Linked DNA regions of Drosophila melanogaster. The protein of the gene in region 1 purifies or fractionates together with the protein of each later gene. This does not show direct contact. Each region holds a gene or a part of one and is shown in the gene's direction. Other genes may lie near its edges.

Region 1 (18,677 bases):
TCAACCTATTTATCGGATGGATAATTGCAGTATATTGCAGCTGTTTAGGATTTACTAGTTGGGCGTTGTAGTTGCCCGCAGCAAAAAATTGATCCCCAAGGGTGCAAAAGAATTCCATAAATCGATTCTCATTAATTGAGAATTGAACGATAATATAGCACTATAGAATATTTCATCTGTTTCAGGTTGTATAGATTAAAGTATATAAATATATACATATATATGTTTACCCGTATATGTAAATTCCAAATGTCTAAAAAAACTTAATTTATTTATCTAATTTAAGTGGTGACCGGTGCGACCGATGGAATCGGAAAGGAATATGCCAGGGAGTTGGCTCGTCAGGGTCTTAACCTGGTGCTCGTTTCGCGGAAAGAGGAAAAGCTGATTGCAGTCACCAACGAGATTGGTAGGCAATGTTATTCAACTAAAAGATAAAAGTGTTTTATTCCATTTCGAAACGATTATTTAGGGAGCCAATATAATGTGAAAATCAAGTGGATTGTTGCGGACTTTGCAAAGGGACGCGAGGTGTACGCTCATATCGAAAAGGAACTGAATGGAATCGAAGTTGGAATTTTGGGTAAATATGTGAATTGGCATAGAAATACATGATTAATATATATAACAAATATACTGGTCATTAACATATAGTTTATAGTTTACTGCTTACGAAGATACGATTATTTGATTGTTAAAAAAATTAAATGCCTTTCATTTTAACAGTCAACAATGTGGGCACGATTCACGACCCGGAAAGCCTTGACAAGGTATCGGAGGACATGTTGTGGGACCTTCTCACCGTCAACGTGGGATCGGTTACCATGCTCACCCGCAAGATCCTGCCCCAGATGATTAGTCGTCGAAAGGGAGCAATTGTTAACCTCGGATCCTCCTCCGAACTCCAGCCCCATCCCAATTTGACTGCTTATGCGGCTACCAAGAAGTTCGTTACCCATTTTACTAAAGGTTTAGAATATGAGGTGGCCGAACACAATATCCATGTGCAGTTGGTTATGCCAGCCTTTGTGGCCACCAATATGAATTCCTATTCCGATAAAGTGAGGCAAGGAGGACTGCTTTTCCCCAACGCTTATTCCTATGCCCGGTCCGCAGTCTTTACACTGGGAAAGACGAGCGAGACCAACGGTTTCTGGGTTCATGGATTACAGGTGCGTAGTCTTACAGCTGAAATAAATCTAATATAATAAATCTAATAAATCTAACTTTCTGATTAATAAATGTACCTTCTTTAATTACAGTACGCCCTCATGAAGTTGTTTCCCATGGAGATTCGTACTTACTTTGTATACCAACTCTTTAAGCGAATGAGAATCGAGGCCATGGAGCACAGACTGAAAAACCAAAAACTTTCTTAGGTTCCTAGCAGCCATGTAAATATTTGGCAAAATAAATACCTTAGAGTTTACGCAGTTTGTAACAGTGGAAATAATATTTTAAATTTTTGAGAATATGTTATGATGAAAATAAAATATATTACACTTATTGACGGGTTCATGTATTGGTTGCTATTGGTTCGTGGCTACAGAAGACGTAGCATAATAAAACTCGATTTAGCTTAAAAACGGCTAATACAACAAAACTATTTACTATTTAGAACGTTTGAGAAAAGCTTGTGGACTTCCTCTTTGAACTTTTCCCGTCAGTCTGAAATAAATATTCGGCTTGGCAGGAGGTTACTAATAGCCCTTCCACTCATACAATATCGATTTATATTTATAGCGTTTGAAAACTCGTACTGTTTTGTTCGCTGACAGCATGTAAGTTCAAAAATCGTTTCCAAATAAATGTTATGTTTTTGTTGTGTCACACTGTTTTTTTGCTTGCTTGTAGGGAAATGCTTTTTGCCATGCTGATAAGCGCAACTTATGGTGTTGTAAAAGATAGTGAAGGAAAATGCATTATACAGTTTTATTAAATAAAGGCAGAGCATGTAAAAACAACTTCATGCAATTATCTGTGAAAAATCTAGAAGCCATAAAATGTATTTGTTCTTGAAACAGATAAATTAAATAGATAACAACGTATTAGAGCTGTGTTGAATATGCAATTATCATTTATAAATTAAAAAATATGTAAGTAAAAAAAAATAAGTTTCATAGCAAGCTTGTCATATTTTAGCGCAGTAATTATTTTTCCAAAATCACTCCTAGAGTATTTAGCTAAATGCAAAAGGAAAAACAGGTAGAGGACTATCTGTACAAATAAACTGTCTCAATTGACAAAATTTGCTTCAAATCCCATTATAAAAAAATAAATAAAATTAAAATTTAAACATATACTTAGACAACAAAATATAGCACACCTTTTGGCGGGTTTTTGAGCCGACAACTGGTTTGAAGCTTCGCTAAAAAGTTTGCAATTTATATTACACTGTGTTGCAAAATTAGACTTTTATTGTACTATGGGAACAAAAAACATATAGACTTCGATGTACTTATGTACTTATTTCTATTCTATTACTATTCGATGTACTTATTACTATTCTATTCACATATGATTTTAAATAAATTTTTTTTTTTTAATTTAATAAAGAAAATAGTTAATTGTTAAAGAGACAGACTGCATTTTGTGGTAATAAGAGAAATAAATATCGCCTTCCAACTGCACTGGCCTTATCATTTAAAGCCAGTTTAGTCATGGCCGTGTACACAATCTCTTGAGTACGCTCTTATCACCCAGTCAAAAGTTCGCTTATTCGTTCCTATATAAAGAGAACTCTTTTCGGCACGCAGTCAGTTCTTAAAAGAAGAAATTATATTAAGTGAAACATGGCTCTTATTTTGCAAGTGATTTCTACAGGAATCTACATAGTGGGTTCTCTTAGCATCGTCGCTTATCTCTACGAAAACTTAAAGTCCTTGTTCAGCATTATCAAGTCTGTTGTGGAACCGTTCTTCAGGCCGAATTTGCCAAAGACTTTGGCGGAGAAATTCGGAAATTGGGCAGGTGAGTGTTTCGATCGCAAGGCCCATTATATCCATGAGTTTCGCTTTATTCACCGAATGTTTCCATGTTATTCAATCCGGTATTTGCATACTTTAACCCCAGGGGTCTGTCAATATTTGAGGCATGTGTTTTCGGTTGATTCACTGTCGCGAATGCAAATTGTTTACCTTATTTCTTAAGGAGTGTTTTTGCTATATCCAGGCAGCATCCAGCTTTTCTCAGAATTGAATGACAACAGCTATCTCAGGTCCCCATAATAGCTATATATCACGATTTGCCTGATAATTCTTTAAATGCCAATAATTTCAATATAAATTAGGCTTTAATGAGAGTATATTGACTTTCTTTACATGTTAGCATAATAAATTTGAGTAATAATAATTTGAGCATATATATTTTTTTATGATAAATTAAATTATCGATTTATACGTTAATTTCACCTCATGTACTACATTACCAAGTTTATGATCAAATTAATTGTTGAGCGATAGAATCTATAGTTACCGGGTTTGGGAAAAGCGGTTACAAAATCCATTTATGATAAGATAAGAAACCCGTTACAATTATGAATTTCCATTATTATTTATACCAACGAAATGAACAAAATTGTATTTCTTATCTGAGTGTTATTGAGCGTATTGCTGATGGTTATTTTTAGTTAAGCTTAGATATTAAATGAATTCACATATTTGTGAATCATAAAAAATAATATCAGACTATAAAAGATATTCTTGCTAAATTATCCAATACAATTTATGTTCAATTGTTAAGTTCAATATTATGAATTAAAAAAGGTTTAACTTATTCCACAAATCCCTAAATAAAATAAAATAAATATAATTTATTTTCAAATTGTCTGCTGATTCATTATAATTTGGCATCCAATAACTAAATTATTCAAACAACTTGATTTGTTTACAATTTCATTTATGGACCAGACAAAGTCATTCAACTCGTAAACCGGCTTGCGATTTTCTCGTTTGTTTCGCACATTGCGATCGCTTTGTTTTTGCTTTATTAACTAATTAATTCGCTTTCATTGACTAGAGTCTCGTGCTGCTCTTCGTGGTCAAACAGTTATAAATTTAACTATCGCTTCTTGAGTTTATTGCTTAATTAATGGGTGACCTTAGGTGTGAGATCGCTACAATTTACCAAATTGAATTATGGATTTTATACAACTGCTTTTATTGCTCACCAATCACAAAGTGCAAAATCTTTGCCAAACTATAGCAGTCATAATAGTTGAAAAATAAATAGAAAAATATTTTCTTATTATAAAATAAATTATAACTTATGGACTTTTTAGTCTTAAAAAGATTGGACAGTATTTTTGAAAATTTGTAATATGATAGTTGTTTAACCAACCAGTGAAGGAAATTTATTGCCTTAAATATATTTTTCGATAAGAAACCAATGTGCTAATCATTCTGACTTTCTGTTTAAACTACCGTTGTCAGCATGAACTTACTTATCTTTCGATATTTTCCGATTTCCAACTGATAACCGCGGTTGACGTCCACTTTGTGACGAGGCACACGATGAAAGTGTGACGGTACTAAAGAAAAGAACTAGAAAATGGATCAAAATTAATTACGGACTCGGCTTTTTGACCTTATTAGAACAGATTAAAAATATCTCAATCATTGTGACTCTAGATCACAATTTGAATTGTCAGCATGAGTAGTAGTTTTCATTAAATTTATCTATCGATTGGGGCTTTTCTGGTTTCCAATAGCGATAATATAGCACTATAAAATATTTAATCCGTTTCAGGTTGTGGAGATTTAAATATATTAATATATATATAATATATAAATCTATGTAATAAATCTAAAATCTAACAAAAACTAAATTTATTTATCTAATTTAAGTGGTGACCGGTGCGACCGATGGAATCGGAAAGGAATATGCCAGGGAGTTGGCTCGTCAGGGTCTTAACCTGGTGCTCGTTTCGCGGAAAGAGGAAAAGCTGATTGCAGTCACCAACGAGATTGGTAGGCAATGTTATTCAACTAAAAGATAAAAGTGTTTTATTCCATTTCGAAACGATTATTTAGGGAGCCAATATAATGTGAAAATCAAGTGGATTGTTGCGGACTTTGCAAAGGGACGCGAGGTGTACGCTCATATCGAAAAGGAACTGAATGGAATCGAAGTTGGAATTTTGGGTAAATATGTGAATTGGCATAGAAATACATGATTAATATATATAACAAATATACTGGTCATTAACATATAGTTTATAGTTTACTGCTTACGAAGATACGATTATTTGATTGTTAAAAAAATTAAATGCCTTTCATTTTAACAGTCAACAATGTGGGCACGATTCACGACCCGGAAAGCCTTGACAAGGTATCGGAGGACATGTTGTGGGACCTTCTCACCGTCAACGTGGGATCGGTTACCATGCTCACCCGCAAGATCCTGCCCCAGATGATTAGTCGTCGAAAGGGAGCAATTGTTAACCTCGGATCCTCCTCCGAACTCCAGCCCCATCCCAATTTGACTGCTTATGCGGCTACCAAGAAGTTCGTTACCCATTTTACTAAAGGTTTAGAATATGAGGTGGCCGAACACAATATCCATGTGCAGTTGGTTATGCCAGCCTTTGTGGCCACCAATATGAATTCCTATTCCGATAAAGTGAGGCAAGGAGGACTGCTTTTCCCCAACGCTTATTCCTATGCCCGGTCCGCAGTCTTTACACTGGGAAAGACGAGCGAGACCAACGGTTTCTGGGTTCATGGATTACAGGTGCGTAGTCTTACAGCTGTAATAAATCCAATTTAATATACTAAAAATAATAGTTCCCCAGATAATTTATCTAAGGGGTAAACTAACCATACGAGTAAATTCTATTTAATAAATGTACCTTCTTTAATTACAGTACGCCTTCATGAAGTTGGCTCCCATGGATATTCGTACTTACTTCGGATACCAACTCTTTAAACGAATGAGAATCGAGGCCATGGAGCACAGACTGAAAAACCAAAAACTTTCTTAGGTTCCTAGCAGCCATGTAAATATTTGGCAAAATAAATACCTTAGAGTTTACGGCAGTTTTTAACAGTGGAAATAATATTTTAAATTTTTGAGAATATGTTATGCTGAAAATAAAATATATTACACTTATTGACGGGTTCATGTATTGGTTGGTATTGGTTCGTGACTTTGCTAAGTCACAAATTTTCAAGTTTAAATATTGGCTTAATAAACTTTCTATTTTTGTGGGGTTTTATACCGTTAAAAACTTTCGATAATTTAGAACAAGTTGTAAGTAAAATAATTGCATGTGTTATTTAGGAATTGTGGGCACAGAAGACGTAGCATGATAAAACCCAATTTAGCTTAAAAACGGCTATTACGACAACACTATTTACTATTTAGAACGTTTGGGAAAAGCTTGTGGACTTCCTCTTTGAACTTTTCCCGTCAGTCTGAAATAAATATTCGGCTTGGCAGGAGGTTACTAATAGCCCTTCACTCATACAATATCGATTTATATTTATAGCGTTTGAAAACTCGTACTGTTTTGTTCGCTGACAGCATGTAAGTTCAAAAATCGTTTCCAAATAAATGCTTTTTTACTCGGATAGTGGAACCTTGCTTTAAATTAAGTAAAAGGGCTGTTTATTTATCTAATGAAAGTATTTCGGCATTTACAATTGAGCAACAAGTGGAAATTGAATTTTTTTGGGCGATGACCAGAATGACCTTTTCACTGACACACGTAATATTATGATATAGATGGCAATAAAAATTTGATTTAGCATGCCATAAAAAAAATGATTAGACTTTTGAATAAAACGCCATTAATCACAATTCAGAATTCTCATTAGTTTTTCACCCATTAGTGGTTTTTGGGACATTTCCTATTGTCATTTACCTGTAATACTATCATCATCCAAAGTTTACTTAATTGCTACATGCATTAGTTAGACATTTGCCCAAATTACCATCGATTACCATTATTTTGAATACTTTGCGAAAGAAGTCGCGTTTAATACTTTGTTGCAATGTTATTTTTTTTTTTTTTTTTGTTGTGTCACAAAAGTGCACTAATACGTTTTTTTTCTCGCTTGTAGGGAAATGCTTTTTGCCATGCTGATAAGCGCAACTTATGGTGTTGTAAAAGATAGTGAAGGAAAATGCATTATACAGTCTTATTAAATAAAGACAGAGCATGTAAAAACAACTTCATGCAATTATCTGTGAAAAATCCAGAAGCCATAAAATGTATTTGTTAGGGAAACAGATAAATTAAATACAATAGATAACAACGTTTTGGAGCTGTGTTGAATATGTAATTATCATGTATAAATTAAAAAATATGTAAGTAAAAGAAAGAGTAAGTTTCATAGTAAGCTTGTCATATTTTAATGCAGTAATTATTTTTCCAAAACTAAATCACTCCTAGAGTATTTAGCCACATGCAAAAGGAAAAACAGGTAGATGAATATCTGTACAAATAAACTGTCTCAGATGACAGGGGTCATTGCATGACAAAAGACAATTTAACGCATCTTTCGCCTAATTGTTTGCAATTAGTTCTACACCACTAGTAAGCCGATTATGCACTTAGCAAAAATTTCAAAACTACGACAACTGACCGACTGGCTAGTGAAAATACCGAGTAATTCGAGATGGTAAGAGGGTCATTTCTTTAGCGGCAATTAAGAGTCAAATAATTCACCCGGCACCCAGACACGTAGATTTTCAACACCTACAGGCCGCAGTAAAAGGCAACAAAATGAAGTTTACAATTTTATGAAATAATCAACCGACAAAGAGCTGAGTAAAAACCGCGGAAAAGAGCCCCAACTGCAGTGGCCTTTCCGCTTTAAGTCGCTGATATTCATTCATTTTACAACTGTTGCTTGTTGAAGACCAGATCCGAAACTGAAAATCCGAAACCGAAAGGCCGAAAAAGCGAAGTCGCGACTCCAAGTTTTCAGTGCGTGATCGGCGCTCAAACCTGCAACTTGTGCCCCCGGAAAAAAGTGGCAGACAGACAGCGCGATAGTGCGAGAGTCGGGCGATTATACGCATGTCGGTACAATAGTAATTCTCTACGGAGCAATAAATAATCAGCCCGGTCGTGTTAGTGATAAGAACAAGTTCCACAATATCAACCGAAAATCGGCCTATTTGGAGTATTTAAAGAGCACTCTCTTAACCATGCAGCCAGTTCTGGAAGTGAGCATTTACACCCTGCTGAAGATGGCGTTCATTTGGCAGCTGATCTCGGCGGCCATCTACCTCGTAGGACTGCTCACCATCGGTGTGTTTCTGTACGACAACCTGAAGTCATTGGTCAGCATAATCAAGGCCGTCCTGGAACCCTACTTCCAGCCCCACTTGCCAAGGACATTGGTGGATAAGTTCGGACAGTGGGCAGGTGAGTGTTTCGATCGCAAGGCCCATTATATCCATGAGTTTCGCTTTATTCACCGAATGTTTCCATGTTATTCAATCCCGTATTTGCATACTTTAACCTCAGGGGTCTGTCAATATTTAAGGTATGCGTTTTCGGTTGATTCACTGTCGCAAATGCAAATTGTTTACCTATTTTCTTAAGGAGTGTTTTTGCTATATGCAGGCAGCATATCCAGCTTTTCTCAGAATTGAATGACATCAGCTATCTCAGGTCCCCATAATAGTTATATATCACGATTTGCCTAATAATTCTATAAATTCGAATAATTTCACAAAATAAATTAGGCTTTAATGAGAGTATATTGACTTTCTTTACATGTTAGCCTTATAAATTTGAGCGTTGAAGCACATGAATTTTGTGTTCTAAATTAAATTATTGATTTATACGTTAATCATGTACTACATTACCAAGTTTATGATCAAATAAATCGTTGAGCGATAGAATCTAAAGTTATCAGGTTTGGGAAAAGCGGTTACAAAATCCATTTATGATAAGATAAGAAACCGGTTACAATTATGAATTTCCATTATTATTTATACCACCGAAATGAACAAAATTGTATTTCTTATCTGAGTGTTATTGAGCGTATTGCTGATGGTTATTTTTAGTTAAGCTTAGATATTAAATGAATTCACATATTTGTGAATCATAAAAAATAATATCAGACTATAAAAGATATTCTTGCTAAATTATCCAATACAATTTATGTTCAATTGTTAAGTTCAATATTATGAATTAAAAAAGGTTTAACTTATTCCACAAATCCCTAAATAAAATAAAATAAATATAATTTATTTTCAAATTGTCTGCTGATTCATTATAATTTGGCATCCAATAACTAAATTATTCAAACAACTTGATTTGTTTACAATTTCATTTATGGACCAGACAAAGTCATTCAACTCGTAAACCGGCTTGCGATTTTCTCGCTTGTTTCGCACATTGCGATCGCTTTGTTTTTGCTTTATTAACTAATTAATTCGATTCCATTGACTAGAGTCTCGTGCTGCTCTTCGTAGTCAAACAGTTATAAATTTAACTATCGCTTCTTGAGTTTATTGCTTAATTAATGGGTGACCTTAGGTGTGAGATCGTTACAATTTTCCAAATTGAATTATGGATTTTATACAACTGCTTTTATTGCCCACCAATCAAAGTGCAAAATCTTTGCCAAACTATAGCAGTCATAATTTTCGGGCAACACGCAAGCGCAACAATCGATTGCCAAGTTTTGCTGCCGTGTTTCACGTTTCCGTTGCACAAATATTTGGCAACCAATAAACCAGCTGCCTGTGGCAACATTGCAGCAATTGCCACTCTAGCCGGTTTGCTTCTAATCGCTTCTTTGCGGCCGATTCCATTCATGATATTTGCTGACGTTTCGACAACCAACAACCGATGTGGCGATGTGATTTAAAGAGGCTCAGCCGAATGCAGTGGGCTAATTAGCAGGCAAATGCTAGTTTCGAAAAGGTCTTTCAAGGAGGTCGTGGCATTATTCAGTTGCTAAAACTATAGGTACACAACAAAAAGTGACGAAATGGGTCTTGGAAAGTAAATAGTTTAGTTTAACATGGATTCAAGTCCTCATACTAAATTATTATACCATAATACCATAAAAATGCAGCTAGCTTTGGAAAGCCAAAACTTATAGACTCTAATAACTTTAATAATTAATAATTATATATTAAATATAAACCTAATCTACACTTACACAAATAATACTTAATACTCAATAACAACGAAACTACTATACATACATTTTCGTAACAAATTCTAAAGCTTGTTGTATAGTGTAGTCTTCAATATTTCGTGTTTTTTTGTCTGCATGCAAAATTGAAAAAATGTGGTTCCCTTTCGGCAACCTGTGCCTGTACTCATCACGTTTTCCTTCGATTCCTTTCACTTAGTGGTGACTGGAGCCACCGATGGCATTGGCAAGGAGTACGCCAGGGAGCTGGCTCGCCAGGGTATCAACCTGGTGCTCATCTCGCGGACGAAGGAGAAGCTCATTGCGGTTACCAATGAGATTGGTAAGTGTTGCTTAGTACTTGGTTTTATATATTTAGAACACGTTTTTTTTATTTCGCAGAGAGCCAGTACAAAGTGAAGACCAAGTGGATTGCAGCGGATTTCGCCAAGGGACGTGAGGTGTACGATCAGATCGAAAAGGAACTGGCGGGCATAGACGTTGGCATTTTGGGTAAATAATTATGATTCGATATTTATATTCAAATCAAACATTAACAACATTTGGCACTTACTACAGATATTAGCGTTTTTATTATACGATATTGTATCATTCACACATTCATCATTGTCAACAGCAGCAGCTGCTTACTTACGCTTTATATTTTGTGACTATTTTTCTTGCGCGGCTGCCAATGTCAAACAATGATAATTGCGTGCAATTATAATGACTCTTTTTTTTTTTGGTCTATTGGCGAGGCGAAGAGTGGCTTAGGCGATGTTCAAGTACGATGGCGAAGCGCTGTTGTTGGGGGTTTTACTTTTATTCGGCCAACGAGACTCATAAACGCTTCAGCAATTTACATTTCGACAACCTTGCGAACTTCTCAAGGCGGCATTAATAAAATGTTTGGCTGATAAGAGTTGACATTGGATCTTGGCCAGCGTAATTTAAAGCCACTGCCATTTGATATGAGCTGTTATAAATATGGTGTTGCCATTATTGCCTTGCTTGAACCGTTATGGTTGTAATACGAATTATTATTAATTTATTCATATAGTCAACAACGTGGGCATGATGTATGAGCACCCCGAGAGTCTGGACCTGGTCTCAGAGGATCTTCTTTGGAACCTTCTTACCGTCAACATGGGATCGGTTACCATGCTCACCCGCAAGATCCTGCCCCAGATGATTGGTCGCCGAAAGGGCGCCATTGTCAATCTGGGATCCTCCTCTGAGCTCCAGCCACTGCCCAACATGACCGTCTATGCTGCGAGCAAGAAGTTTGTCACCTACTTCTCCAAGGCCCTGGAACTGGAGGTGGCGGAGCACAATATCCACGTGCAGCTGGTGATGCCCAACTTTGTGGTGACCAAAATGAATGCCTACACCGATCGGGTAATGCAGGGAGGTCTGTTTTTCCCGAACGCATACACTTTTGCCCGGTCCGCCGTATTTACACTGGGAAAAACGAGCGAGACCAACGGTTTCTGGACCCATGGCATTCAGGTTAGTAATTTGGCGATTAGGGATTTTTTTCAAGATGCAATACCACTTAATTCCCTGATTTAAAGTTTCTTAACGCCTTAAAATCTTACCTTATTAATTAAAATCTTTTATTTTACAGTATGCCATTATGAAATTGGCTCCCCTGCCGATCCGCACATACTTGGGACACCAACTGTTCAAACGACTGAGAATCGAGGCCCTCGAGCAAAAGCAAAAGAAACTGAAGCTTACTTAGGTTGTTAAGCTAGGTTAGGAGTCATGTAAATATTTGGTTCTTAGTCATAAGGCTTAAACTATTAACTAGAAAAAAAAAAAAACACACAAAGCCATGAAAAAATACAAAATATAAAACAACAGATAAAACAAAAGATAAAAGGCACATTCGCAAAACCGGCTGGCTAAATCAATTCCCAAAATGCACTGCCGGATTGCATAAGAGCTGCAATTTGGCCAAGGAGTGGAGGGGGTTGGCTTTCGGACGGTTTTAGCCGTGAAACCGGTTGGCCAGCGCGCGAAACTACTGACCGACAAAATGGCAAAGTGGCCAACTGCAGTCGGAAGCCGCCAGAAGACCAGCGATGACTGGGTATCCGCATCATTGCTCGCACTTTTAGCTTGTATTATAGACTGTATAGCCGTTACTCGTAGAAAAAAAGGGTGTACTAGATTCGTTTTTTAACAGATAGTAGCAGTTGATCTAGTCATGTTCGTCTGCCCGTCCGTATAAACACTGTAAACTATAAAACCTTAAAAGTTAAGAACAACCATGTAGTGCCTTTGCTTCAGAGGATTGCCACGCCCACGGGCCACCCAAAACTGTGACGTCTACACTTATGAAAAGTGTTTTTTGTAATATTATTATTTGCATTGAAAATGTCTAAAGATATGCCCAAAACATTTCGAAACAAGTTCTCTAGCTGAGTAACAGGTATTTCAAAGTCGACTATACCGTTCATTTATGTTTTGTTTGTTTTTTTAACTTGTTGTCCAGTTGTTAAAGGCCTCAATTTGCACATGCATATGCCACATGCAAATAAAGATAAAGTACTTTTAAGATCTCTCGAAGAACTGCACACAAATACATGAATTTAAATTTTGAATGGAAACTTAGACTATGCAAGTTAAATTACACCTTTCTGTCGGCAGAAGTTTTAATTGGGTCCACTAAAATAAATTGAGTTTTCGTTGTTATTAGTTAATTATAAACTTGAAGAAAAATGTTCTTTAAATAAAACTCTTTAATCCGTTTCAAAACAATCAGTTACACAAAATAGTCTTGGAGAAATGTCATTGTATTTTTTAAAATTTTATAAATACCGTTTTCATATGTCTTTTTTAAACACTTACCTTCTGCTTTTTGGCTTAAATTCCAAAAATATTTGCGTACTTTGTAGTTTTTTATGAAAAAACACAGCAATACTTAAAATAGTATTTTTACCGATTTAAGTTTGGAACAAGCCTAAAAGTATGCCTGAAATAATAATAGTCCTCAAATCTACCCAAAAAGTCAATCTACATTTGTATGAACTTATGTAAAATACATAATTTAAATATCACTCAATTGATTTTTTTAATATTACACGTACCATCTAGTTTCAAACACAAAATAAAAAGGAAATAAATAGTTTGGTTTTTTGTGTTTTTATTCCTGCAGTTTGTTGTTGCTGTTCTTTGCGGTTGTTATTCACAAGTTATTTAAGAAAAGTCGAGTAAAATGCAGTTACACATTATGCATGTCTTAATATGTACGAGTGCGAAATAAACGTGGCTGTTTAACAATGAAATAATATCGGTGGTGCACATTGATTGCTGATGTTGTTCTTAATTTGCTTATACTGTACATCATGGTCTATGAATTGCAAACTAAGTAGATTCCATTGCCGAACAAAAATAATAAAAAAAGATCACAAAACTATATTTATGATTAGAGCAGATGACGCCAAGGCCGGCAGCACAGTTTTCAAAATAAATCGATCCTGCAGCGCCTCAAAGATGAATGAAATGTGGCAGAGCACTGGGAAAAAAAACAAACGTATAAATATGTATATTGAAGCGCATCCCAGGGGATCCGAATAAATGGTACTTACCACATGGCAGGGGTTACCCATCAAAGTGCTCATCCTGATCGCCGAGCCTTCGATTTTGGCAACTGGTGGCATTGACGTCATCTGCAATATGCATTAGATGAGAATTTATTTGAGAAATTTATTTAATAGCACTGTTCGATTTATTGATTGCAAAAGAAGAATCATTTTTGTCTGACGCAAAGTCGCTGCAATTGATAAAACGTATTATTTTCGTTTTTTTTTTTGTTGGTTCTAGTGGCCACATTGGCATAAACAATAGCTGGCATTTGTTTGTTTCGAAGAACATAAGCTTCTTAGAGATTTATTTTAGGTTCTTTGAAATAACTTATGGAGGGATTGCGAAAAAGCAGCATCGGATTTTTTTTTTTTGAAAATAGCAATCTATACTCGAATATTTATTAGCAGCGCTTGTGATATTCAAAAACATTTAATGAAAATTAATTATAATTTCCACCTTAGCCAATCATAAATTCAGGCCATAAAAAACTGTCGCTTTGAACATTTTTGTGATTTTTCGGGCGAAAATAATCTTGAATCACAAAGTTGCGACATTTGGAAAATGCCATATGAAAATGATTTTTAATGCTCCCAAATGACGGGGGGCTGTGACGACAGGAAGGTGTTTAGTGGGCCATGTCGAAATCTTGTCGTTAAAAAATAGAAACGGAAAATCTATTTATTAACGCGAGCGAGCCAAATGGCTGCCAAAAAATGTATTCAAGGTTTATGTTTTTTTTTTCTTCTTGGGTAGGGAGTGTTGAGGGAGTGTTTCGTTAATTTGTTTGATGTGTGTGTTTGATAATTGATTTAATTGGCAGGGGGTGGATGGGGTGGTGTTCGTGCTCACCTGGCTTAGGTTACTAGTAGAAATCCATTAAATGCTAAACATCTTAAACGCGTAGGGTCCTAGAAGCTCCACCGGACCACAAGATGATGGCATGGCCGGCGGCTTGGAATTGAAATTCAACATGTAAGCTATCCTGATGGGTGGTTGGTGGGTGGTGGTTGGTGATGGTCATGGGTGACTTGAGGCTGTGGGCCTAGAAGGCGGCTTCGTAGAAGGCATAGAGCAGGAACAGCAGGAAGGCCAGGATGAGGAAGGTGGTGAACAAACTTTTTGCCTCATTCATTTTGATTGATTCGATTTGGCTGCTGGCTAAAGGGATAATACGGAATTAGGTATGCGATTGATCGATCGACAGGCGCAAATCACACACTTGTGGGATTGGGTTTTCTTAATTGCTTGGAGGATTTCCAACCGTTCGTAGCTAAAGGCGCGCAATAACTGAATTTCCCGATCTGAATTCTACTTCTCCACAAAAAGTTGGCCAGCGCTTGGAATTATGGCCATTGCCTGGGCGCACGCACCCATCCACATACATATGTTGATCCGATTAGATAGACGATATATAAAAAATTCATTTATATTTATATATGTATACCGTGTATATCACCGGCTATTTGGTTGTATGTGAGTCCAGTTGTTGGTAATATTTTTGACGCGGCACAAATATTTTCTAGATCTGTATATCTACATATGTGTGTACGAGTATGTAGATCGGTCTGCATATTAGAAATATATATATATGATTTCGAATTCCATGCGATTCTAGCCAACTTTCTGTGTTCTTTGAACATTATTCATCTGCTGGACTGCACCTAGACAAATTGCTTATTCCGACTGGACCTTGTCATTTGAAAAATGTTTTGTTTATTTCTTTTTTGGTTTTTTCGTTGGGAAAGATGTTTTCCTCTCCAGTCGTGTGTTTGATTAACATATTTATTTACTTTAGGCTGAAAACGTGTACATCTAGCCAAGCCTTAAAACGTTTTTAAATATTGAAAGAATCTTGAATAATCACGTAGTCCTCATTGAGTTTATGGCACATTTTGGCCTCAATTACCATTTCAAGGTTCGTGATTGATGCGGATTTATCTCGATTAAATTCAATGGGTACCCCATTTACCCAATCGAAATTGTGTGCATTGAAACAAATTTTACTTTTACTACGATTTTAGATTTAGATTTTTCCCATATTATTGTATTTATAAGCTAAATCTTTATCTTACCTTTGGTCCTGCCCTAAGGACCATCTACTTGCCGGAAACATTTTACAATACGGCATAGATGAGGTAGAGGAAGAAAAGCAGGATGGCCAGGATGCCAAAGGTGGTGAACAAGTTGCGGGCTTCGCTCATCTTGATTGAATTTGCTGCAAATAAAATATTTATTTATTATTCGGTTAGAACGGAAAGATTTAAATAGTTTTCCCTATTTTCGAATTACTTATATACGAAATATTTTTTATTTGGCGCGTGAGAAGTTTATCTTCATATAAACATAAAAAAGGCGGCAATAAATTTTCGCGGAACACATATTGTTTTGTTTTAAAATAATCTAATCAAATAAAATTCAATGGTATAAGTAAAAAAAAATTTTATATAAAGTCGACAGATATCAAAGCCATATGGAAAATATTAAATTTTTCTTTGCTTTCGTCGTCGTCTGGCTATATCTATTTGATATTTCTGTGCTCTTTGATTTTCTGATAGAGCAGTCAAAGAACCGCATGTCTATATAGATTGAAATAATTCCAGTTTTATAGATTGGACCAGTTCCAAACGAAAAAAAAAAATGGAAAAGATCTCTGGTGTGGAAATATTTATGAACACGGCACACTTGAATTCGAATTGTTAACTCCCACAATTTTTTATCATTCGTCTGGGGTCTTCAGGTCACTTCACTTCTCTACCGGATTTACCTTGGTTTTTTTGTTCGCTGGGGAAAGACACAATTTTGTGCTATTAACTGGTGAAAGCCTTTGGCTCAACTAAAACCGTTGGCCCGTCCACGAATTGGGATATAGATGAAATACTTAGTGTTCTGCAAGCATCCATACACACGCAGTTTGAGCATATCTGACAAATGGATATAGATTGGTGGGCGTGTATTTGTGCTTTTGGATATATGTATGTACATATAGCGAAATATTTTGTCCCATTGGCCAAAATGAGACGCCACTACCAGAGCAGAAAGTGCAGACTTTTTGGAAAGTCGCGTAGAAATAACATCGAAAATAAATAAAATAAATTTGCTGCGCGCCTTTTGACAGTTTTTGAGCAGCCGTTGGCCGGATCTGAAGCCAAATTACCAACAATAACAATACGCTCATTAAAAATAATTTTGGCATCTAGTATATGGCTTGTTCCATTTTGCAAAACATTTGCCTCGAAATTATTGACAGCATTTTGGAATTTCCGCAAGTGCAAAGGAACTCAAAACATGAGGTTCGAATTGGGCATGGGATCTACAAGTTTTTTCGCTTGATTTCGAAATAGCACGGGATGTTTATGTTGTTAATATATATTTTCTTTCAAATATATGAATAGAATTCAACTTAATCCTTTCTACGTAATACCTTCTTAGCGAAATCACAAAGAGTTTTCTTCAACGCCACACCTCCTTTACTTCTCCAATCATATCGTCTGTTGACATATAAATACCAGCCAAAATGTTCATAAACAACTGTCACACATTTCGGGTCCTTGACTTTTCTAAAAAAAAACACACACTTTCCCTAAGCTGACACTTGTCATTAAGTCAATTTGAAAATGCAATGCGCAAATGGCATAAAAACAAAATGGCTTGACACAAGAATATATATAAATAATGACCAAGATAATTATAAAAAAATCAATGAATTTTTATTCCTCTGCATAGCACATTCATGAAATCAAAAGAAACAATAAAAATCGACCTGATAGAATCAGGTTTGTTGCTTGAGCTATTGCAGCTGTGGCCACATTGCGTATGCGCGATATTTTTTAAGCACTAATGGGTAATTTTTGGGATAAGTTTTTCAAATATTTTTCCAAGCACACTACACTCATATGGGTTTTTATTTAAAATTCATATACTTTAACTTGTTAAATCCGTTTTTACATGCATGTATAAAGCTTAATCATTATGACATAACTTCATTAATAGGCGATGTAGGGCAAAACGGAATGCAAAGATCTTTAAGTTCAAGGCGAGTTCCAATAAAGAGCGCAAAGAGAACTGGGAACTTTGATAGAATCGAGAATATATAGCTTAATCCACTGCTTCCGTGGCTTATCAAGTCATTAGGGAGGAATTCCGAGCACAATTTTGCGCAGTTTTTGTGGAACAAAACAAACGAGCGGATCACAATAAAATATAAACTAAATGCGCTGGAAGCTTCAGTTTGTTTTATTCGCTATAATTCAAATAGTGAGGTCCCAGAATGGAGAAGATTCGGATTCAGATACGGAAGTGGAAATGGATTCCGAGGTAGAATCGGGCCAGTTTTTTAGCCATTTGTACAAGAGCAACTTGCAACAGTTGGTGAAAATTAAGAATGACTCAATGGATCCGTGTGATGACTTCTATGCACATGCTTGTGGAAACTTCGATCAAACGAAGGAGGAAAATTCCGATGATTTTCTTCCACCCTATCTGTATAACAAACAGGACAGAATGAACTTCTTCACAGCTGAGGTTGGAAATTTTGAAACTATACCAGGACGATTGATTTCTCAACTTTATACGGAATGCCGAAAGAGGGAAGAACGAAATGTTTTCACCCCTACTCGATTGACTTCTCACTGGGAACGTATGCTCGATGAGATCCCATTCCTGGCCAGGCATAAAGAGGTGCTCTCTTCCTGGCCTTTCCTTAAACATCAATGGGAGCGAAGGCGCCTTTATGGGCAGCTGAATTGGATAGTTCTGTCAGCACAACTGGCAGCCCATGGCCTACCCACTTTACTTCATATCTACTTTGCCTTGGATACGATTTATGTGAGTCCCATGGAGGAGCTGCCCTGTCCTAGTATCGCGGACTTTCAATCTAGCCTGTCTGATGTCTTGGAAGGTAGACATCATCAAGTATCCCGTATAATATCACATGAGATGAGGGTTCTGTGTCGCGAAATGAGAGGAGAACTTCCGCTCGTA
Region 2 (14,793 bases), on another chromosome or scaffold:
AATCCTTTAGGCGCGCACCCAACAATTGCTGCAGCAGAACCGCGAGCTCCTGGAGCACCTGGCCTCTTTGGGGGCCTACAATGAGCAGCAGACAGCCGGACTCACGTCGGCCAACATCGGAATGGCGCCACAGGTGAGGATTATACCGATTACTATATATGCTATATAGGCTTTTGAGTTATGCGATCGTAAATTTGCGCTCATTTCGAGCCTTTTCAAGCTGTGCGGCATTTTTGCATGAGTTTTGTTTCTGTTTTTCTTGGCTGCCGTTTGTTTTTGCACGTGTGTTTATCAATAGTTGCCCCGTTTTTGTTGTGCGCTCTCGTTGTCGTTGTTGTTGATTGATTGAGAGAGAACTGCAGAACTTAATGTCCCTTGAACTTTCACCCTTTCCATCGTGTAGCAATCGCAGCTACAAATGCTGCTGCAGGCCACGAGCAACAACAACAATCTGGCCACGATCAACCAACAGATCAGCAATCTTGGCAGCATCAATCAGCAGTTGACCTCGCTGAGTCACCAGCTGAGTGGCCTGAATCAGCAGAGCCAGCACCTCCAGAATCTGCAGCAGCAGCAGCAACAACAGCAGCAGCAGCAGCAGCAACAAACGCAGGCGGCACCGACTGCGGCCACGCCCCCTCCCGCTGCGGGGGGCAGTAGTCCGTATCCGTCGATGAGTGCGCTGCAGAGCATCAGCAATCAGCTGCAGCAGCAGCAGCAACAACAGCAGCAGGACGCATTGTCCAAGGATCTGTTCCAGGTGAATCAGGAGCTGTTGAATCGCCTGCAGGCACTGAACTTGAATGCCAATCCTGGCCAGAGCCAGCCAACGCCCTCGGCCACGGCGCACAACTCCTTCTTCTATGTGAATCCCTTGTCCTGCACACCGGCCACGCCAAACAACAATGCTGGCGGAGCCGGAGGTTTCAATTTCCTAACCTCACCGGCAGCCACGGGAACACTGACCCCCTCACCGTTGGGCACCATGAATCGGAATTCCTTTGCCGGGAGTTCGTCCTTGAACGAGGATATACGCCTGAGCATCGAGCAGAATCTGAATAATCTGGAGGAGCAACTCAAGGCGGCGGTGTCCAATGGCAATCTGGCTGGACTGGCCTGTGGAGGATCGACCAGCACGCGGGATACCAGTCGTAGCTCCTCCACCCTGGACTCCCCATCCTCGCCACGTTTGAGGAGCAGCAATAACAACATTAGTCCTGGAAGCAGCAATGGCAACCAGAACCACAACAATAATAGCAATAGCAATAGTAGCAGCAGTCGGGAAACGCGATTCAATACGGTTTTGCTGAGGGTCACCGATGAGGCGGGTCACCAAAGAAAGCTATCGGCCACGCCCAGTTTCATCACACGCAGCACCAGCGAGAAGGTGCCCAATCGCAGCCAGATGATGAGCCAGGTGCAGAGGACCACCTGGGCCAGGCACACCACCAAATAGGAGCAGGGCTTCGAAACGCCCAGTGGACCAGGTCATAGGTTAAAGGATACGAAAAGTGGAAGTGGGCGTGCATGAGGAACGAGTGAATGAGTGGGTGCAACAGTATTAATTTAGGAGAAATGGAAGCCTACTTTAGTTTTGCATTTTAGGTGTCCTAGCAGAACGCATCGCTGGCGTTTAGTGTGCCAATTATTTGCCCAGCTCAACGTCCGTTTAAGTGTAATATATCTATGTAATGTATATCTATTTAGCAATATCTTCTAGCTCAAAACTGTGCCAAAGTCGAAAGTTTATAATACTCGAAAGTTTGGTTAGCTTCCGGGCCAGCAGCGATAAACCTTAAGTAAAAGTATTTGTGAAACATAATCTTAGCATATCAGCAACGAAGAAACTTACTCAAGTTCGCAATAATCGTTTGAAAGTATTTTCTCTCCCCTAAATGAAAAACTATATCTATACACCTAGTGATTAAGCTAATGAGTCTAGTCTAAACTGATTAAATTCGATACTGTTATTTTTGTAAATTGTTGTATTTTAATTCAATTCATGCGTGACCCGCATAATCTTTATTCGCAAAAATGCAATAATCATGGGGAATGCATTAATTAGTTGCCAGGCTGAAAAGTTATGTGTAAATTACAATTTCAAATATTCATTTGAATATGGAATATAGGCGGCAAAAATGAACGGCAAACAACCAGAAATAATAATAAAAATCGCATAATTATGTAAAAACCCTTGGCACTTGTTTCCAGTCGTTTATATGTATATTCATACTCTATATACTGTCGTTAATAATTGAAAGTTAACGCCAGACTGGGCAATTTCCCTAATGACTTTTCCGACACAAAAACATGCAGCACACTTTTAAGCGCATTAAGCATCCGCCCCGTGGGACGGTCAGTGTATGAATTTCCCTCCCTGGATAAATGAAAAACGATGCCGTGGCCCAAGGAACAGAAGCAAAAACAAGTGTCGCCATTTTTCACTCTACACTCGGCAGTTGGCATTCGTTGAGTTTCTTCCGAGTTTTTTTCTCTTTCCCAGTTGCCTACGGATTTCGCTGGTGGGCAGCAATTTGCGCACATAACTCATTTGCATAAATTTACACACTGACTTTAACGTATTTGCCCCACCACGCTTAACGCTACCACACCCACCGATTTTCCATTTCCCATTTCCCGCAGCTATCCTCAACGGCGAAAGTGGCCCGATGGTTCCAACAACTACCCTGGCACACCGCATCCTTGTCCCGTCCGGAGAGCGGCTTCGTTTCCGGCGATTCGCGTTCGGAGAAGTATCAGGAGGATCATTTCTACGGCGGCATCGCAAAGGAGACGGATGATTTATGCGATGAGTTCCTGCTGGTGGAGGGCAGCAGCACCATTTGGACAAAGCTGAGCGCCAAAAAGCGTCGTAAATTGCTCGGCATGCGGCTGGGCAAAGTGACAACGTTCTGAGGAGGTCCTTGTTCACATCATCGTCCTCGGATTCACGTAATGTGTGCGTTTATTAGCTGTTAAGTGAGTTTTTAGCATAGCCCTAAGTGTAGCTTTGATAAATTTCTGCATAGGCATAGCTAGCTAGTATGAAAACCAATAGACTAAAGGACCAAATTAACCCAAACGAAGCGAAACGAAACAAAACGGAACGTAACGGAACGACATGCTCATTGAGATGCCATGCAACAGGCATAGGACATAAGTCAATTAGTGAGCATAAAACGTAAGCTCAATGTGTATTTAAGTATTAACTGAATAGAAGTATTTGGGCCAGTAAGGAAACACGGTGAGAATCTTGTGGCCAATTCATTAGGCGAACAAGCCACGCACATTAATCATACGTCACGTAGCCAACCATACACACCTACTGCCAAAAGCCAAAAGAGCATTAACTTGACCAACTTTTCGTGTACGAGAAAAACTGGTTATTAAGCTAAGCAAACAAGGGCCAGTACCACAGCAGCAGATTCAACAGAAAAGGCGGTGAAAACGGGGAAAAACAGAATGCGCAGGAAGGAGCTTTTCCGGTGCACCCCGTACCAAAAAGATCAAATGTTTGATATTCATAAATTTCAGCCAGCTCCACCGTTTTTATGCATAAATCGATTCTACTTTTACGCTTGGCAGTCCCTTCCTTGCCCGTTTTTTTCCCGTTTTTTATTTGGGTAACTCTATAAATTTAAGTCAGCTGCTGAGGGAAAATGCAAACCGAACTTGCGGCATACGCGGCGTATAAGCAATTTACTCAAAATTTATGAGGATTTGTTGGCTATAAAAAGCGGGGTTCGTAGGGTAGCTAGACACATACTACTTAGGTGGGTAGCTGCAAAGGTGTTGTACTGATTGCACTTCACCCTTGATGGGTTAAGTTAGGGATAGTATAGCCAGTTAGGGATAGTTGAATATGCAGAGATATCTGCGAAACACTGACAATCATGGGGGTGAACGAAATTCTGCAATTTAAATTTGAGTGAAGCTAAAGCCGGCCAAATGGTTTTCAATCATCATCAAACTCGGTCGAGTTTTTATTGCATTATTTGGTAGCTCTTTCGTTTATTGCGCGGCATTACAATGAAAACTCGATTTTCCTAACGGTTTTATGACATTTTCGCAATTTAGGTACGAAATTTATAAATGTCAGAACAAAAACACAAATTAATTTACGTAAAATGGTTTTAGTTAATTTATGCAAAACGATTTTTGAGACTGAAACTGAAATTTGTACTAAGCATAAAAACAGGACACAGAAACACACGAACACTTCACACATCACACATACTCGTACATCCATTCATGCATTTCGCAAACAATTGCGACAAATAGGAAAAGTTTTTATAAGCTACTTTAGCCTAGCCTTTAACCAAGTTGAATAAATATAAGTTGCTCTGGTTCAACGCAATAGAATAAAGTGAAAATAATAAAAATTAAATGCAACATGCTGGGCAACATGTCCTTATTCAGGTCCTGCCACTTCCAATGCCGCCGCTGCTGCTGACACTTTACAGTTCAATTAATTTAACGCGCTTTGCATGTAATAGAAAGGCATTGCATATCAGCGGGGCCAGCAGACAAGGATGTGCCAGGACATGGCGCCGGAGGAGCCCAGTTCGCAGCAGGAGGGCTTGGCTCGTATGGAACGGCTGTGCCGACTAACAAGCGCATTCTGGCCAAGTGGCCGGGGCGCGGAGGAGATATCATCTACGCAAACTAGCATGGGCTCGACTTGGCAATACCCCCCACTGGGATAAACATATATTCCCAGCTTTCGTAGGTATTTATGGTTAGTTGTACTTCGAAGAGAACAGTCGTTGGTAATGTCAAGTCATTCATTGCTGGGAATTGATGAAGCTTAAGATAATATCAAGATTAAAAATAATAAATGTATAAATAAAATAGCAATTAAACTTTTTATTGAGTAGGAAAAAGACTCATCCTACCAATTACGGAGTAACACAATTAGAAAACAAAGTGAAGGCACCTTTTGTGCGCTCATAATTAAGGACACTAAGGACACAACGCAGCGCACTAATGGAAGGCGCAAAAATGTATGAAAATGAAAAGTGAAAGTATAAGTCAAAATGAAAAATGGCCTTTTTTTCCCCGCTCACATGGCGAATGCGACATGCGATATTTTGTGTTTTCGGGGCCGAGCTGTTGACACTTTTTGGGGCAGCGGCAGACATAATTACACAGAGGTAGGCCGCGATGTGACCCTGAAAGCAGGAAGTTCACTTTGTGTCATGTGACAGCCAGGAGAAGCAGTTGAAAGTGCCGCGTGTCCTGTCCAACGTCATCGTCATCCTGTGGCCAAACTAGCAGGACTCGCTGGACTCGCTGGAGTCAGAGAAACGGACACCGCACACTCACATGGCACATTCATTGTCACTTATCGCGTGGGTGGCGCGTTTAATTCACATTTTATTTCCAGCGCCCGTGGCTGCGCGCGTAATTGTTGCTTCAAAGTCCTGGCCAGGACACGGATGTAGTCAGTCCGCGTTGGCGCTGCACGGCGGTCGTGTGTGCGCGGTGAATAATCGCGATTCGCAACGTGAGTGTGCGCTCCTTTTTGGCCATGCAGAACGACGAGGAACCAGCAGCTGCAGCCGGAACTTCGGGGCTAAGCAATGGAGAATCCTTGCGGAGTCCACCGGCCCCGGCTCCACGACGACCCAAGCCAGGTATCCTGCGACTGGACATCGGCAAACCGCGACGCTCATCAGGTGGTTCCGTCGATTTCCGATGCGTGGGCAGCAGCAGCAGCAATGGGAACACCAGCAACGTGGCCACTGGCGCCAACAGTGAGGTAAGTGAGCATGATTTACGGCCCATTCGGGAGTGCTTACGATTTGGCCTGACCAACAACGACGACACGGTCTACGGAATGGCTATATCCGAGAGCGGACCAGGAGGATAGGTGGGAACAGCAAGTGCCGCTGCCACAGCCAATAGCCATAAACACCAATCGCACTTAACTGGCTTTCGCTTCTGGCCGGGTTAAGCAATGCAGCTCGACCCGGTTGGCTGTTAAAATCATTTTGTTTTACAACCATCGGTGGACAGGTGGAGCTATTCTTAGGTCAATGCAGAAGTTTCGCTTGACAGGCTTAGTAAAACTTAGAACTTAGAATTTTTCGAGCATTGGTTTTGAGGCTCTTAAAAATGAATTTTCAATTTAACTGCATTAAAAATTCTGTACATTTGCATAATTTAAGTACTGTCTCTCTTTTGCTTAACCAAGCCTCGACTCTTATCTCCTCTAAGTTGTAAACATTGCTAATGAACTGAACGCATATCATGTGTGGTTTTCCTGGTCTAACTTTAAAGCTCATTAGTATAATTTGGCAAACTCACTCTACATATGCATGCAAAATCTCAGATCACCGGAGGTCTCTACTTTATGGTAGTTAATAAACAAGTTAAATCACTTGGCTACTTAGGCAGCAGGTAGCACAGCAAATAGCACAGCCAACTTCACATTGCCACACAAGGGTATCCCAGTGTTCATTAGGCCAGACATGCGACATTGGCCAAAACCGAGTGGATGCGGATGGGCACACCCTGGACTCGGGGCTCGGTCAGTGGAGGAAGCGGGAAATTGGGGATGGGATCGGTCGAGTGGGGCAAACATTTATTTAGTCATAAAGCTGATGCGTAATCTCAACAAGCCAGGCCATTCCAAGTGGGTCAGAAGTTTGTCAGTTCGCACGTTCGAGTTGGTTTGGTTGCTTCGACTACACACACAAAATTCGTCCCCACACCCCAAACACAGAGAAACAAAAAAAGTTGAGAAAATGTCGCAGCTGAACGCGGAGACCCAGCAGAGGCACTTCATCACGCGCAGCAGTTATGAGGGCGCCTGGGATAGATTGGTGAATGTGATGGACGGATTTGGAAGCTACCGCTATCCGGATGGGAGCGAGTATCGAGGAAGGTTCCATCAGGGTCAGTTCCATGGCTATGGCCATTTGCGACTCGCCCAGCCGTACCGCTTTACGGTTAAGGGTGAGTTCGAGCATGGTCGCCTGGTGACAGTGGAGGACATGTGGTTTTCCGACGGTCTGCATGTGGATGGCAGATTTAATGGCATGGTCTTGCAGTGCGATGAATGGGATTACCTGACGCCCAAGGATCGGCGTTATCATGCCGAGCGTCGTTATGGCCAACAGCCGGTTGGCCCCACTGCCTTTCTTACATCGAAAATGCAACCCAGAAATATTCCCGAACATTGCTATGATGTGGAGGAGGGTCTGTTCAATAGTAAGACCTGCTGGTTGACGGACCGTCCGAGTCCGCTCCATCAATTCATGTACGTGAGCTGCCCGCAAGATAAGGATTGGATTAAGAAGAATTGCAGGAAGGCGAGAACATCGCGTATAATTGAGCCACCATCCGACTTCTGTCGCCGCATTATAGCCAACAATTTGGCAACGGAACGAGCACAGTTGCGAAGCACGGCCATATATGCACCCAATGGACAAGTGGATCGGGAGCGATACTTCCACAAGTTGACCAAAAAACGTGGACAGCCGAATGAGCCGCTGGAGAACATTCCAAGGCGTCCCATGCCCGTCGACGATCCCGCCTGGGAGACGGAGATGTGTGTGCGTGCCTATGCTGGGATGTTGGATAAACAGCAGAAGGATCAAATGGAGTTCAAGCGCGTGCATCCTTGCGCCAAAATGGAGACGGTGAAGAGACCACGCCGATGGTCGAGCACCTCAGATGTACGCAATCCGCAGTCGGGTGGACCCTCCAGCTGCCAGACGGACAGCTTTGGCGAGGATGAACTGGTCCTAAACTTTGAGGAATCATACCGCTCGGCCAACAACATGATGAGGAAACGGACGGCGGATAACATAAATGTGGTGCAATCTAATCTAATACGCCGCAATAGCTACATGGACATGACCCGGTCCATATTCGAGTTGTAGATCCGCCGATCAATGTCTTTATATATGTTTTTTTCAATTTAAAATTTAAGCTTAAGAGCTCGGAGAGAAAATGAATGCAATTACTTTGTAATCTGAAAAATAAAATTCAACGTTTTTAAAGTTTCTTAGAATACTCGTAGTATTTGTTAATAGTTTAATGGTCAGTAGGATCATATTCATTTTAAGTATATTTTGCATTAGTATTCAGTACAACCCACCGGACTTTGCTGTATATTAGCCAATTTTTTTTTAAAGTAGAAAAGACCTTATAAGCAATAAAATATCTATGCAGGTATTGGACATTTTTTATTAAATGTTGCTACTATTTGACCCATTAGTAGGCGATTCCAGTCCTTTGATGGATCCAATCCAGTGCGCTGGTGATCCTAGCAAATCCAGCGGGCAATCCCAAGGTGCACCCGTTGGAGGCCACAAATGCGGAAATGCCCACCACGGTGGAATCCTGTTTGGTGATCAGGGGGCTGCCGGCATCGCCAAAGCAAGTGGATCTGCCGCTGGGCGTACGGGTGCACAGGATCTGATCGGAGACGGTGGTGGATCCGTAGAAGGCGATACACTCGTTATTGGACATTATCTGAAGGTCGACGCATTGCAGCGCATCGGTGAGTCCATTGCTGAAGGTGGTCACTCCCCATCCACAGACATTTGCCCACCAGTTCTCGTAGCGCTGGGATCGATTTCTCAGTGATGGAAGGGCCACCCGGTTGACCCGGTTGCTGAATCCGACTCGAGGAACTCGAACCAGGGCGAGATGTTGATTACCCGTAACGTACTCACTAGTTCCCACTGTCACCGTAAACTGGGCCTGACTCAGCCGGGTGGCTCCAAAGTAGATGGTCACTCCGGAACTGCCCGTTAGACACTGAGCGGATGTAAGGATCCAGGTGTCGCCTATAATAGTGCCACTGCACCAGATGTTGCTCTGTCCAAAGGCCATGCCCACCACATAGGGTGCCTGACCTTCATAAGCGGGGCTTCCATTGGTTATAATGTGATCAGGATCCTCGGAATCCTTCTTAGCACTTCCTGCTGCGACGAGAGTGAGACCCAAGAAAACTACCAATAGCTTCATGATTTCAAGCGAAGGTTGTTACTGCCTAGTTAAACTGACGAGTTTATATAGATATTCACTGGGTAATTAGCGAACATTAGTGAAATTTCTTTGATTATCTTGAGGGGCGTTACTCATTTAAGTTATAATTATTTAAGTAAATTGCCATTAGTGGCATCATATTAGTTCGGCAAAACTTGTTATCTCAAATAATATATAGTAAATTATTTGAACACCCATTTCAACGAACATTTACTCAACTTTAAAATTGTTATTTTTGGTATACAGTGTAAATAAGCTTTCTAAAAATCATGGAGCAGAAGACAACAAAATCTTCAAGCATTACCCAGGTTGATATTCTGTTGACTGGATCCAGATACGTTGGTCCCAGTGATGAGTTGGGCATGCAGGAGATGGGTGTCTACATTTATCCGGATGGGACATGCTACACGGGAGAGTTTCTCAACAATCGTTTCCACGGAAAAGGCACCATACAAATTCCTGATTCCTTGGGCGTTACCTATCAAGTAACCCATCACAATGGCAGACTGGTCTCGATCGATCAGGTTAACTTCAATGATAGTCTGCCCGTCGACTTTGAGATGAAGGATCATTACACGATGAGTTTCAAACCCTGGACGTATTGCACGCCGGAGGATCGCCGATTCTACCAGGAAACCAAGGAGCCTATGGATGCCGTCGGTCCGAATAAGTTCCAGTCCAAGGACGGACCAAATCCGCTCAACCTGGGTCGCAATATTTTCGATCTGGGCTTCGGACTGCTGGGCAATCGTGGCTTCATGTTGGATACAAAGACGTTTAGCAACCAGAGTATATATCTAGGATGTCGGGAGGCTCGTCGCTGGATCCGAGAGAACTGTGCCCATGGACCACTCAGCAAGCGTCACCACAAACAGAAGTTATTGGCCCGTTTTGCCCGTGAGATCATCCGGAACAATCAGGAGAATGCAGGCTGCAGCCAAAGGGAGTTCATGACCAAAATCCATCCTTGTAAGCACTCCACCAGCTTGGATAGCTTCGCTTCGGAGCGTCTCCATCTGGCCAGCACTACGGATTCCACGACGTCGGAGGCTCAGGCCATGGGTTTGCGTCATGAGGAGTTCCATGGCAATTGGACAAGAGCGAAGAGCGAGAGCAGCGTGTGTCGCATCAACTGATTGATCCTTTGAATTTTTTGTTACTTTCGCTTCTACTTTTCGATGTGGCCTTAAATTAATATATTGTAAATCGTTGGTTGACCCACATTCTGTGACCAACGCCTCCATGTTAGGAGCTCTAGATTTATGGCCAAGTCGCGAAAACTGCAGGCGAACATGGAAATCCACTTAGGCCTAAAGGTGTGTGCTTTCCTTTTCTTTTTCTTTTTTACTAGGTCATCGGGTCCATGGCGGCATTGAACCTTTGGCTCAAATGTTACCTTAAACCTGGAAAATTGTAAACATTTAGGCCTAGGCCACCGGCACAGCGGGTAATGAACCCATAATCGCCGAACATTATTGCTACACGTGCACGGGGGCGTAAAGATAAATTTGATGTTAATTAAAGCCGGCCGAGAAATCCATTTAATTAAAAGGAACGAAAGTGAAATCAGAGAAAGTGAAAGGCAAAACACAGAGAACACAGTGGAGAGCGCCAAAACATATATTTCAATAGTGGGCGCTCCCCCAGAAAAGCACACAAGCTAACACACACACACCGGAAAATGGGGGAAACAGGCAAGAGGATAAAGTCCGGGAAAAACCTAGAATTTCGCGATTTTCTTTATCAACCCTTGCATGTTTGATTTTCATTTACATGGCCGGGCCAAGAATACAAGGTGACTCAATATCACATACACACAAGCGCCATCTAAATGGACATTCGAAGTCCTGGCTGGTTACGCCCGGATACGGCGTTGTTATCACATGCCGTTGGCAATTTTTACACTCATTCGTCTTCGTTCCAACAGGGCGAGGAAGTCAGCCACTCGGACCCGGACTCCCGATCCCCTTCAGCCACCTAGTCGCAATGTCCTGCCGCATGTCCATGTAAATTCCTTTAGAGTGTGTGCGCTTGTGTGGGTTTTGGGCACGTTTTGGCTTTGATAAGTTGCCCATCGTGCGGGGCGGGGCGGGGGGTGTTGGTGGTTCGTTCTTCATTCATATTCATTCATTATTAGAAAAATTTAAGTTTCACCTGTCTGTGTGAGGTGCCTTCGTGGTCGCCGTCCCTTTGGATGATGGTCATTTTGTGCCTTGGTAGCCCTGCCAGCCAGCTAAGCCGTTCAGTCTGCGCACAAGGCTGCTCCAAAGCGCTTCGGCTTATAACTGGCTAAATCGGGAGCAAAAAGTGCTAGCTTGTCCATTAAAGGGATTTTCTTTGAGGGCACTAGAAGAGATGTAACACATAAATTGCACAGCAGTGAAATTAATAAATAAGCACTTAACAGCGAAGGTCATTCCGCACGCAAAGAGTACCAGTGTGATTTGAGTAATTAGCTGTCCCGGAACAGCACTTGAAAATTAGTTGAGTTAAGCTGCTGCCCATCCATTCGTAGAACAACTCGGGAGTCACATCGCCTCATCAACTCTCTGTGACCTGGGCACCGCCATGCGACTTGGATAGAGGTGGCTGGCAAATGCAGAGCAGCGCCGATGCCAAGAGGGAATTCTACAAAGGACAGCGAGGCAGGAGGTGAGTCCTTTAAAGGGATACCTTGGACCATCACTATCTCGGTCTCTGCGTTTCTATTAACTTCCTTTAAAGAGCTGCGTCACAGGAGGACCACAGATCCTACGAACTGAACGGTGCGTAACGTATATCTGGTTAAATATATATAATAGCTAGCAAACCAAACTATAGTTTTTTATTAGTTGTTATATACGCTTGTTTAGGTATTTTATTTAAACATTTAATATTTAATAAGTTAAATATCTTTATTTGTTTCTAGCATTATTGATTCTATAAATTACCAACAATTTTTTTTTTTAATATTTTGCATTAAATTTTGTTATCTAAATAAAAGCATTTAAACATTTTGGTTAGCAGTTTTAATGCAGAGTAATCTTTTCTGTCTGTGTTTAATATAAAGTAACCAACTAATGACCAAACACCACTGCCACTCCAGATTTCCCATTGCAAAACCAGAGCAGCGACGCCGAGAGTTGCCACCAGGAGCCTCACTTTGCCCACCAGCGTTCGCCTGGAATCGGATTCGACGAGGATGGCGGCGGTGGCGACATTGACGATGAGGAGAGCTACACAATTTCCGTATCGGCAATAATGCAGAGACGTGCCAGTGTGCGCGGCTATCGGGGCAAACGCGGCAGCCGGAGTTCGCGACGTGCATCCAGTCCCATGGATCACGTTCTGGACAGTGTGGAGCGACGACGCTCCAGTGTCTATACGACAAGTTCAGGCAAGTCTGTGGTCCGTGGCCCATAAGTGTCCAGAGCAGATTTCGTTTAGTTAACGAGCGGACTGCTCCCCGGTCCTTCTCGGTCATCCTCAAGTGGCAAGCTAATCAACGTCTGGGGGCCTGTTTTCTGTAATTTTTCATGCTACGTGCGGACCGTTTTGATGGCGTGGCATACGGGGCGTATGTGTAATCTGTTTGCCTTGCTTTGACTTTCGTTTTACTTTGCAGAGGAGGGCACCAATCAGGAGTCAACGCAAGAGCAAATCTTTGAGAACATCCGCCTGCACAAGGAGGTCATACAGTCGGTGAAGCTACAGCCATGGCCCATCCGCAAGAAGCTCAAGTTGGTGCGGCAGGTGGGTATCCATGGTTTTCAGATGGGAGTGGAATTGAATGGGGGATTTGCCCAAAAACTGGGCGCGTTCGTTTTCACGCCGCTTGTCAGGTCGTTGAAAATGTTACGACCGCCTATCCTTCCTTCCTTGCAAACCTCACCGAACACTCATCAAATGCTGAGCCAAACTTTTCGATTTCATTCTTTATCTCCCATCTTTCGCTACACCCTGGAATTTTTAATGATGTTTGGACTTTGCGGATCCTGCGGCTCCTTGTATGTGTTGACAGGCCAAAACATATGTGGCACGCCACGAGGGCGCGCTCCAGGAGCGCTTCGCCATGTCACGCAGCACCAGAGACTTGTGGGCGAGGTTTAAAATTTTAATGGCGGCAGTAAGTGATTTTGTAACCCCCTTCTTTATTATTATTTTTTTTTTTTTTGGAGGAAACGCCTGCAGAATGCGAAATGCAACGAGCACAAGGCGAAAGGCCCCCAAGCCATGCAAAAAAATATTAATGTTTACACAATTTATGGGCCACTTTCCGGTCGGGACGGACATTCAATAAATCCCCACTGTTCGCATAGTTCACCGAGCTATGTGAGCCCCATGGCATTCTCGCTGTGCTGGGAGACCAATTAAAATGCGAACTTGCCGACTGCCATTCCTTTCTAGAAATAAATCCTTTCTTGCATCCGACATTTTCTGCAGCGATGGCGACACTGGAAACGTGAGACGGCCAGCTTCCTTACCGTCCTCATTCCCTGGGAGCTGCGCATCAAGGAAATCGAATCACACTTCGGCTCCGGCGTAGCCTCCTACTTTACATTCCTGCGATGGCTTATGTGGGTCAATATCATGATTGCCATTCCGCTGGTCGCCTTCGTCATTGGCCCCGAGGTGAGTGTCCTCAGAAGTAGCCAATTCGTTTGCCACACACTTTACACACAATTATGTTTCCGCTTGGCTTTGTTCCAGTACTTTGCCACAAAGCACGGCGAAACGGATCCCAGGAAAAGGATGTCCGACCCGGAGGCTCGGGTGGCCGGCAATCTTTTCACGTTCTGGGAGTTCGAGGGATACCTGAAATATTCACCTATGTTTTATGGGTAAGCCAGACTGGTTTTTTGTTGGACAAGGGCTAAGCTTCCCTTTCAAGTCAGTCTGTTTAAAAATAAATCAATAATAATTCCTTTAATTCATTTGCCTTTTTAACATAACATAACTTTGGAAGAAAATTATGTTCTTATGTAAATATTTATTTGTTCATCTTAATTATAAATTAGTTATGAGAGCTCTATTAATTGCTGGCAATATCCCAATATCATCCCTCCTCTTGTTTTCCTATCCCCCAGATACTATTCAAGCACATCCGGCATTAGCACGTCCGGATATAAGCTTCCCTTAGCCTATTTCCTTACCGCCGTTCTGGTCTACATCTACAGCTTTGTGGCCACGTTGAGGAAGTGAGTATGGTGGGAGCACAAAGAAATAGGGGTCAAGGGGTCATGGGTATGGATATGGTTCCCAGTGTGTTGGGTAGGCACTTCATTAAATACTTGGTCATCGAAGCCGCAAAAAGTAAACTAAATGTCAGACTGCTCGTTAATTAATTAAACAAAACTAAAGCTCTGATTAAATAATACAAATCTTGGCCACGAGGCGTGTCTGGGGGTCTGAAAAAGTTTCGACGCCTCAAAATAATCAAAGGAGAAAGCATTGGCCATTATGATTTACGCACGCACACAACAGAGCACGTGCCTCGAAGGGGGCTGGCAGTGAGGGGCGGGACAGGAAACGGAAACGGCAAAACGCCATTTTGAGCATTGGGCGTCTGACACGCTTTAATGGCTTTGTCGGCATTATGTTGATTTCGTAATTGAACAAAGCAGCAATGTCAACAGTGAGCAGCCGGCACTGGCCTTTCCATATAGCCACTTTTGCGGGTCACGTGCTCAACGTGCGTGGATTAATTCAATCGCAATGCTATACGGGATTCAAATTGTGGGAATTGCGGGTATTTCAGAACAAATTATGACTGAATTTCCACTTTTGATCCATCGACAGAATGGCGGAAAA

The links.
Region 2: the proteins of CG13284 (region 1) and CG3306 purify together in Drosophila melanogaster (affinity purification with mass spectrometry, with the first as the bait; one large-scale study listed by BioGRID). This does not show direct contact.

What each region holds. Positions count from the first base shown.
Region 1 is NT_033779.5:16,836,448-16,855,124, reverse strand, and holds CG13284 (uncharacterized protein), read left to right. Parts: upstream 1-7,927; 5' UTR 7,928-8,154; coding exon 8,155-8,374; intron 8,375-10,323; coding exon 10,324-10,446; intron 10,447-10,505; coding exon 10,506-10,616; intron 10,617-11,163; coding exon 11,164-11,612; intron 11,613-11,730; coding exon 11,731-11,847; 3' UTR 11,848-12,778; downstream 12,779-18,677. Other genes in the region: CG31809 (uncharacterized protein), read left to right, coding at 287-409, 473-583, 727-1,172, 1,263-1,379; CG31810 (uncharacterized protein), read left to right, coding at 2,793-2,970, 4,845-4,967, 5,031-5,141, 5,285-5,730, 5,864-5,980; SclB (sarcolamban B), read right to left, coding at 14,740-14,829; SclA (sarcolamban A), read right to left, coding at 15,812-15,898; Nepl9 (Neprilysin-like 9), read left to right, coding at 17,907-18,677.
Region 2 is NT_037436.4:9,592,324-9,607,116, forward strand, and holds CG3306 (uncharacterized protein), read left to right. Parts: upstream 1-9,199; 5' UTR 9,200-9,272; coding exon 9,273-10,139; 3' UTR 10,140-10,225; downstream 10,226-14,793. Other genes in the region: CG42673 (uncharacterized protein), read left to right, coding at 11-133, 404-1,456; Tmc (transmembrane channel-like), read left to right, coding at 5,531-5,761, 11,519-11,655, 11,728-11,768, 12,089-12,379, 12,608-12,735, 13,004-13,108, 13,426-13,614, 13,693-13,823 and 2 more; CG3222 (uncharacterized protein), read left to right, coding at 6,750-7,889; CG3088 (uncharacterized protein), read right to left, coding at 8,224-8,982.